Caenorhabditis elegans: one gene and its partner. The protein of the gene in region 1 interacts with the protein of each later gene in a pairwise test. Each region holds a gene or a part of one and is shown on either strand. Other genes may lie near its edges. The genes, in order: ppm-1.A and dpy-17.

Evidence for each region.
Region 2: the proteins of ppm-1.A (region 1) and dpy-17 interact in a two-hybrid assay, tested with the Caenorhabditis elegans proteins (one large-scale study listed by BioGRID).

The regions. Positions count from the first base shown.
Region 1 is NC_003283.11:10,532,295-10,538,148, forward strand, and holds ppm-1.A (Protein phosphatase ppm-1.A), read right to left. Parts: upstream 4,095-5,854; 5' UTR 3,691-4,094; coding exon 3,543-3,690; intron 3,017-3,542; coding exon 2,856-3,016; intron 2,753-2,855; coding exon 2,684-2,752; intron 2,637-2,683; coding exon 2,376-2,636; intron 2,326-2,375; coding exon 2,259-2,325; intron 2,197-2,258; coding exon 1,835-2,196; intron 1,427-1,834; coding exon 1,088-1,426; 3' UTR 596-1,087; downstream 1-595. Other genes in the region: txt-10 (MFS transporter), read right to left, coding at 13-248, 296-531. UniProt on the Caenorhabditis elegans protein: Probable phosphatase which regulates axon termination in ALM and PLM neurons, and synaptic branch extension and/or stabilization in PLM neurons.
Region 2 is NC_003281.10:5,105,444-5,109,007, forward strand, and holds dpy-17 (Cuticle collagen dpy-17), read left to right. Parts: upstream 1-1,886; 5' UTR 1,887-1,889; coding exon 1,890-2,304; intron 2,305-2,356; coding exon 2,357-3,000; 3' UTR 3,001-3,048; downstream 3,049-3,564. Other genes in the region: F54D8.6 (C2H2-type domain-containing protein), read left to right, coding at 1-412, 499-613, 889-999, 1,055-1,153, 1,221-1,377. UniProt on the Caenorhabditis elegans protein: Secreted collagen that forms part of the nematode cuticle, which functions as an exoskeleton and a barrier to protect the worm from its environment.

The DNA of each region.
Region 1 (5,854 bases):
GTAAATTCAAACCTGCAGAAGCAGTAAGACCTGCAGAAAGAAAAGTTGGAGATATCAATTCTGAAAGTAAAAACATGGAATTTGCAAGAAAAGTTCCCATTGAAAAGGCTGCGGCTAAAAATAAAAAGTTTGTAGGTCTCATGCTCTCAGGTACAGCAAGTCGAAGTACTGCAGGAGCACAAACAAAACCACTTCCAGCTGAATATCCCATCACGAAACGGCCAACAAATGAGCAAGTCGTTTGGAAACTTAATAAATAAAATTTAACGAAAACGATAAAAATGTGAGATCTAACATGGGAATCGCTGAAATTATTGCTCCGAGAAGAAGTAATCGGGCACATTTATCAAGTTCTTCGTGTAGTTTGACTTCGTGAAAAGAGAGAAAACAAGTTGCAATAAACTTCCCAATTGGAAATGCAGCTGTTACAAGAGAAATCTGCCAAATAGTTTGAAATTCTTTAGGATCAACACTTGACTGTTGAAATATCTGAAGAGAAGACACAAGTGCTAGAATAAGAGCAAGACGCATGTCGATGGAAGGACAATGAAAATAGAGCAATCTGAATGAAGTTGAGTAGTAATATGAAAGAATCTGCATTTGACACATCAATTTTTTCATTCTATCCAATTATCTAGTAAATTATACAAATGATGGAAATGATGAATCCGTAAATAATATTTTGGTGCGATTTAGACAAATATAACAGCGAGAATAGGGGGAAAACGATTGGTTGGGTATATTCTGAATCTTGATGGGAGTGTTTGTAGGTGAATTTGACAGAAAATACTATTTTCGCAAAAGAGCGGATAAAACAATTAACCTTAAATGATTGATGAAGAAATATAGATATAACTTAACAAACAAGTGGAAGATTTTGGTATGATGAGAAAGAAAATTGGCACAAATTTCGTTTTCCAAATGAAACAATGCTAGGATTGATAAAATTATAAAATTTGTTCATTTGGGGAGAGGCTCCGTTTTAAATTTGGACGAGCTGGTTTAATGAATTAGATAAGAGCAACGGGATAAAAGTGAGGAAAGTGTACTTTTTTAAAGTTTGGGAATAGAGTAGAAGCCATGAGAGTTACACATGCTTGATGTCACGTTGTGTCAGAATTTTCTGGGCCAGCGTAGTAACTGTATGTTCAGGAACACGCAAATCAGTTGGCAACAGTCCATTTGCTGTTACTTTATCCAGAATGCTCTTGAGAGTGACCATGTCTTCTTCTTGTTTGAAGTCTTCCGCAGCAACAGCCTCATCGAGGAATTGATTTATAACAGTCTTCACTCGGGACACCCATGCTTCCTCGGCTTCTTTTCGATGAATATTGACTTCTGGTGCAGCAGGGAAACATACAACCACCATCGTCATATTATCCCGACTTCCTTTCACAAGGCATTCGTCGAGAACATCGTCGCACACCTGAATAATTTTGCAATTATTTAAGTTTCTAGACTGGAAATTATTCCTCTACTTCCAATTGGAAATTTTTGTATTTATTCAAAAATTTACGTTTTGTTCTAAAACTGAGAAATTCATGAATCCAAATCATAAAAATATGCCACGTGGAAGGTTTAAAATGGATAAATAAGGGTGGAAAAGATTTTTATTACATTTTCTCACATTTTGAGAAATGTCGTTACAATTCTTTCCAGCAAAAATATTGAAACTTCGAGTCGGTTTTCGAAAAATAAGAGCACTTTTTAAAATGTCACTGTTTCTCGGAGTGAGATACAATTTTTAAAACGGAATTCAAAACAAAACTTTTTAGTTTTGGTAATTAATTTTGGAAAATGATTGCATATCGGTTTGTTCAAGTACAAAAAATACCTCTCTCAAATCAGAGTGAACTGAAAGGCGATCTTTCACAAACTCTGCGAGTTCTTCATTCGTCATCACATCGTAGATTCCGTCACATGCAACAACCATAAACTGATCATTTTCAAGATTTCTCTCTCGGATGTAAACATCTGGTTCAGGAGAGACAAGTTGTTGATCAGCAGGTAGTCGCGGATCATCTTTATACTCGTAGTCTCCGAATGCTCTGCTTACGGCCAGACTTCCATTTATTCTTTGAATCATAACAGAACCACCAGCACCCTCAATTCGTTTTCTCTCCTTTTCCAGATATGGTTTGTGGTCCTCGGTACCGAAAATTTCATTTTTTCCAGCAACAACCGCACGGGAGTCTCCTGAAAACATGATTTATTGAAAGTCTTTATTCAATCTTTTGTGCAACATTTTAATGACATACCGAGATTTCCGATAATGAAATGAGTTGGAGTGACAATGGCACACACTGCTGTACATCCGCTTTTACTCTGAAAATATAAAAATGGAGTGGAAAATGTTATCCGGCAGATTAACTTACGATATCATTGCTCGTTTTACTGATTTCATCAAAACTCAAGAATCCTTTCTTGATTCCCTTTTCGAGCAGTTTTAGTGTACTGTCTGTGAGAACTCCGTTGTTTTCCTCCAAAGTTTTGGTCATCTCACGAAACTCTTCGCTTGAAATGAGGTGTTCAAGAAGCTGCGACGATGCTCGATTGGCGATGTGGTGTCCAGCATGTCCATCGAAAACGGCAAAGAATGACCAATCCTTGTAGGGGGAGGATTGAGACATTATAGCCTGTAACGAAGCAATTTTTCATAGATTAACTCAATTAAAAGTCTAACCTCAGCAATGTGTGAATCTTCCATACATATTCTCCAGCCCTGCATAGACGACATTCCATATCTGATTCCCTAAAAATTGTTTTTAAATTCATATCCGGAAAGAAAAAATATATTTAAAATTTTGAGTCACATATGATTTAACTGCATACCCAGATGGTTCTCAGAAACTCACATTTCCTTCTCCATGGACGTTAGTTTTGTCGGTTTTCGGTTTGTCGAGAAACGCTCCCATCGTCTTCGCGTCGACTTCTACTAAACCCGCACTGGTAACTCGCCAAACACGAAGCTCGTCGCTGCTACTGCTTCGAGGCACCACCGGAATGGGCTGGCACTCTGAAAATAAATTAACTGTGGAGAGAAAGGTTGACGCTGCCGTCGCAACAGCCGAACAGGTTAACGCAGAAACAAAAAAGAAGCGGCCACGAAGCATTATAGCTTTTCGCTTCAAAAAACAAACCGACTCATGCATTGATTACTCGTGACGAATTATGTGGAATTGAAAGAATATACATGGGTATTGGTGAGAAAAACCATGAGAGAAAATAGTGTTCACGGTTGAGATACGGAGATGGAGAGAGCGGGAAAGCAGAGAAACTAACAATTACCGCTGGCAGAACACACGTGAAGTCATCGAATTTCAAGTTAACTTTTTGATAGAAAGACAAACATGACATCATTTTTTTTTGTATATTTTACATTAAAATTCAATGACGGTAAAAAGTAATAAACATGCAAAACAATGACGACCACAATATTATCTTTCAGAGAACACTGATTCATAAAGGTTAAGTTCAAACACAATAAGATTTCGGCACATTATCCAAGACCCATGTATATTCCTAAAACTAAATATCTTTACCTTGGTCCGAGGGAGTTCCGAAAATAGATAGCGAAGCAATCGTGGACGCAGTTTGCCGAATTTCCGGAGCAAATGATTCGTTGAGATTTCCGTGAGTCTTCGGTTCAGCAGAAGACGCGATTTGCAAATCTGCACGTGAAATCGTCATTCTTCTCGGGGGAAAAAATATATCAAAAGACGAAAACAGGACAACGAAGAAGATGACGACGATATATTCAAATACGCACTACTGTTCCTTTCCACCACCGACTTCCCGAGTAGTGGGCGGATCAAATTCAATGGGTTGGTTTTTAGAGTTCGATTTAACGTCTTGCGACTTTTGAATGTACACAATTTATTTCTGGTCTTTATGGACAGCAAGGGTAGCAAATCAACTTTGTACAAAGTTATTGGTCGGAGGACGGAGGAAAGTGATAACTACTCTTCAGAAAAGACCGTGAAACTCGTGCTTTTAAAAAAGAGTGACCTGCCTAGAGAGACTGCTGACGTGCCAGATACATTATTTCTCTCACGTACAGAAATTATCTCATTTCGAAGAAGTTGGAAATCATGAAAAAAAATTGAGGAGAGTAGAAGAAAATCACGTGGATAATATGACGTTAAATTAGATAAAGCTATTTGTGTTCTTTTTCGAGTAAAAAAATGAAAAAAGCAACGAATCAGCGGAGCCACAGGAACTTACATTCTTGTGTAGAAATGAAAAACTTTCTTTCTTATCAGTAAAAATATTACGGCAAAAATGTATTGTATCGCCGATTTCGTTGAGAACTACTGTTCTACTTTTAATTTTTGACAAATAAAAATAGGCTAACTGGGTTAATAAATCATTAGTGAGCTTTTCCAGTTTTTGAAATAATTTAAATTTTGCTAAATCGCCGATTTTGTATTAACGTATAATTTTGATAGCAACAGAGAGTGCGAGGAAAGTTTTTCATAATCGGAAAGTTAAAATGTGAGAAAGAGGTATGACGAAATCAGATTTGTGGTGTCTTCCCGCGCCATCACCGTCTGTTTTCCAAAAAGGAAAAGTGTTTCGAGTGACGGCTCCTTTTATTCCCGTCCTTCTTTCTTTTCTGTCTTTAACGTCGTCGTCCACATGGACAGGGAGAAAAGAGGCAAACTGAGAGAGGAAAACAATCGAAAGATGCGGTCGAATCGAGGGCACACACGCACACTTGGAGAAACGAACGAGTGCAGTAGAAAAATTGAAACGCGTCAATACAAGCGCACAAAAAGCGCGTCAGCAAGCGATAGTTAACGCAATTGGAAAATAGAGGCGATTCAAATGCATTTTTATCGAACGAAATGAAAGCTTTTTTCTCATTAGCTTCCTAAATCTCAATAGGGGTTAATTTAAAAATACATACGTCAGAAAAAATCTTATTTGTGAAACTGTAAAAAATGCATACAAAAAAGGTCACATCGGAATCAGGGGTGTGCGGCAAATGGAAAAAATTGCCGAGCTCGGCAAATCGACAATTGCTGGTTTTTCAAAATTTGCCGAGCTCGGCAAATTCGGCAAATCTCTTTTTTCAATATTTGCCGAGCACGGCAAATTCGGCAAATTTGCCAAGCTCGGCAAATTCGGCAAATTCGGCAAATTTGCCGTGCTTAACAAACTCGGAAAAATTTGATATTTTTTATGTTTTTTGGAGCACCAAAACTACTGAATTCTTAACACACATCTGGTTTCTGAATAAGTTCCGCGTAGTATGTCTGTTTAAGCATCAAAATAGCTCAATTTTGTGTCATTTTACTAAATTTTTGGCTAAAAAATCAATAGTTTTAGTCAAAATTGTACTGTCAAATTTTTGACGTGTGCGGCAAATTTCGAAATTTGCCGAGCTCGGCAAATTCGGCAAATCTACTTTTTTGAAAATTGCCGAGCTCGGCAAATCGGCAATTGCTGGTTTTTTAAAATTTGCCGAACTCGGCAAATCGGTAAATTTGCCGAATTCGGCAAATCGGTAAATTTGCCGAGCTCGGCAAGTCGGCAATTTTCGGCAAATCGGCAAATTTGCCGCACACCCCTGATCGGAATTGAAACGAATCAATTGAAGAAATCTAGAAATAATTCTAGAAGTTTTGGGCGAGATGCAAATGCGCTCCATTCGGAAACGACATACTAGCGGAAGTTTAAATTTTAGTTTTTTGTGCATTTCTCGTACAACGTTAATTTTGCAGTTTTACTGGAAAAATCATTCATCCAATAAATAGTTATTATTTATTACCAATAAATTTCACGGAGTTCTGGCCTCCGGCAATGTTATCAAAGACGTTTTGCATGTTTTTCCTCCGACTTATATCTTCAG
Region 2 (3,564 bases), on another chromosome or scaffold:
GGAATTCCTGGAGTCGATAGACCACCTGGTGGTAATAGGGATCGTGGTGAAAAGGTTCGGAGCAAGTCGCCAGTTACAGGAGTTGATAGACCACCAGGTGGAGACAGAATTGAACGAAGTAGGGATCGAGAACCGGGTGGTGGTGTTCCTGGGGTTGATCGGGCGCCAGGCAGAGGATCTCGTGGAATCGATCGCCCACCTGGAGGTGATTCTCGTGGTGTTGATCGACCACCTGGAGGTGGAGGAATTCCTGGAGTAGATCGGCCACCAGGAGGTGGAAGGCGCGGAGTTGATAGACCACCAGGATCTGGAATGCCTGGAATCGATCGGCCACCTGGAGGGGATCGAATGGGTGATAAGCAAAGAAGAGGAGCGAGAGGAGGTGTTAAGGAAAGAGAAAGAAAACGAAGAAGTAAGTTTATTCAACCTTTATTCCACGAAAATTCGAAATCCTTATGTTTTTTTTTAAATATTTTTAAATAACGCTTTATTTTTCAGGAGATGAATTCCAGCGAGGAGGTGGTGGTGGTGGCCGAGGCGGTGGCCGTGATGGTGGAAGAGATTATGGTGGTCCTCCGCAAAAATCTGGGCGACGTGATCGATATGATGATTAGTGAGTTCAGCAATGAGCAGAGATATAAAACACATTGAGAAAGTATACGAAAGCCCCTTTTTCTCAGCTATCTCGGAAAGTAACTTTACTTTCAATTGAAATTTTCGAAAATTTGCTCTAAAACTGACTCAAATAATGCCGATCGACACTTCACGACTTTGAGGCAGTTTGTCAAAAACTTCTCGAAGCCTTCAATTAAACATAAAAAAGTATTTGTGACTATTCGCGTTTCGAAACCCCAAAAAAATTTCAATTTTTCAAAATCTCGATTTCAGCGATCGATCGTATCAAGGAACAAGTGGATATGGACAAGATTATGATTCACAAACATATGGAGAACGTGGTTACGATGGACATTATCAAGGACAAGAGGATTATTATGGAAGGTAATAAAATTAAATATTTTAAAATGAAATTAATTAAATTTAATAAACGTTTCAGTCAAGAAGGATATGGAGAATATAATCAGCAACACTACGGTGAAGGATACGATCAACAAGGATATGGGCAAAATGGAGATTCATATTATGGACATGAAGGGTAAGGAAAATCACTTTTTTAATTGTTTGAATTGTATTTTTATTCAAAAATAATTACCTATTTTCAGCCAAGATGCATCGACATATTACCAAGAAGATGGCAGTCAATACTACAATCAATACTACGGTACTGCTCCTGCAGAAGGTGAAGCTTCAGCTGTAACTGGAACGGATTATCATGCAACATTCAGTGTACCACCACCACCGGCTCCCCCTCCGTCATAAATTTAAGAATTGGGAAAACTAAATATTTTTGAATCAAAAAACTTCCTTTTTCAATATTTTCTTCAATTCTTTCCCGATTTCTTTCAATTTCAATAGTTGACTTTTATTTATTTTTAATTTATAAAATTTCTTATATTCTTCTTCCTCCTTCTATTGTATGAATATTAAAAACAGGTCCTTCGACCCGAAAAATCCCCTTCTCAAATCTAGGTCATCATATCGGAGATAACGGACAATTATGCATAATATTCGAGATGATTATCATATCGGTCATATGAGGGGGCGGAGTCTCGCATACAGTAGTCCTTTGTCCTTGTGCGAGGGAGTTTATGAGTATAAAAGGGTCCCTGAGAGAGGAGAAATGGACACTTTTATCAAAACATTTTCCATCTTTGTTTATTTTGACGATATTTATTCGCTGATACGAATTTTTGCAATTTTTATCCCGGATACCGTATTTCTTGGCAATTCAGATTACGCGCAAATTCTAGAATAAACATGTTTTCCAGATCATGTCAGTGTTCGCGGGATATGCCGCGTGCACCCTCGGTGCCGTTTCGATGCTTCTCTGCGTCTCTCTTGTCCCACAAGTCTATCAGCAAGTCTCGATGCTCCGGGACGAGTTGACGACTGAAATGGAGGCATGGCGTCTCGAGTCCGATCAAATCTACATGGATATGCAGAAGTTCGGACGTGTCCGTCGTCAAGCCGGAGGATACGGTGGATATGGTGGATACGGTAGCGGACCATCTGGACCATCCGGACCATCTGGACCACACGGTGGATTCCCAGGAGGCCCACAAGGACACTTCCCAGGAAATACTGGATCATCGAACACCCCAACTCTTCCAGGAGTTATTGGAGTTCCACCATCAGTTACTGGACATCCAGGAGGAAGCCCAATCAACCCAGATGGATCCCCATCTGGTAAGTATAGAAAAAATAGTCCAAAGATCTTATATAAATTGAACATTTACAGCTGGACCAGGAGACAAGTGCAATTGCAACACCGAAAACTCATGCCCAGCTGGACCAGCCGGACCAAAGGGAACTCCAGGACATGATGGACCAGATGGAATTCCAGGAGTTCCAGGAGTTGACGGAGAAGATGCTGATGATGCCAAGGCTCAGACTCAACAATACGATGGATGCTTCACTTGCCCAGCTGGACCACAAGGACCACCAGGATCCCAAGGAAAGCCAGGAGCCCGTGGAATGCGTGGAGCCCGTGGACAAGCCGCTATGCCAGGAAGAGACGGATCCCCAGGAATGCCCGGATCTTTGGGACCAATTGGACCACCAGGAGCCGCTGGAGAAGAAGGACCAACTGGAGAGCCAGGAGCCGATGTTGAACACCAAATCGGACTTCCAGGAGCCAAGGGAACTCCAGGAGCACCAGGAGAGTCTGGAGATCAAGGAGAGCAAGGAGATCGTGGAGCAACTGGAATTGCTGGACCACCAGGAGAGCGTGGACCACAGGGAGAGAAGGGAGATGATGGACCAAATGGAGCCGCTGGAAGTCCAGGAGAGGAAGGAGAGCCAGGACAAGATGCTCAATATTGTCCATGCCCACAGAGAAACACCAACGCCGCTGTCTCTGGAAACCAAGGATACAGAAACTAATTTCACATTATTATTTGTGATTTGTGTTGTTGAAGAAAATAAATTATTTTATTCTCATAACTTTTTTCAATCGAAGGATGTTTTCAGAGAAGCATGTTATCCTAGTTCAGATAATCTCAAGAAATAGGCTTACTATAACAGAAAAAGTTAACTGAATTGCAAACATTTTCAGATAGTAGAAATATAATCAAAACACTTCCAAGCTTTGAAATAGAATACTAAAATATTAAAAAAAAAAACACCCTATTTCCCCAACGAAAATGTTTTGTTACTATTTAATTGAACGATTGTGAACCTATTTTACAAAAAAAGCATTTTGATCTACCAGTTGAACTCAACATATATTTATTTTCAAAAGAATTTCAAAAGATAGATCAAAATAGTTTATCTGAGTTTTTTCATTAATTTTTCCCATGAAAACAGATTCAATACTTGCGAGCATCCTTCTTGTCTCTCTTTCAATGATGCCCGACAAGACACACAGAAACTGTTTCTTTCTCTGCCGTCTCTTATGTATAGAGTGTCCCGAACAGCTGTTTGGAAACGATGGCCGAGTCTGAATGG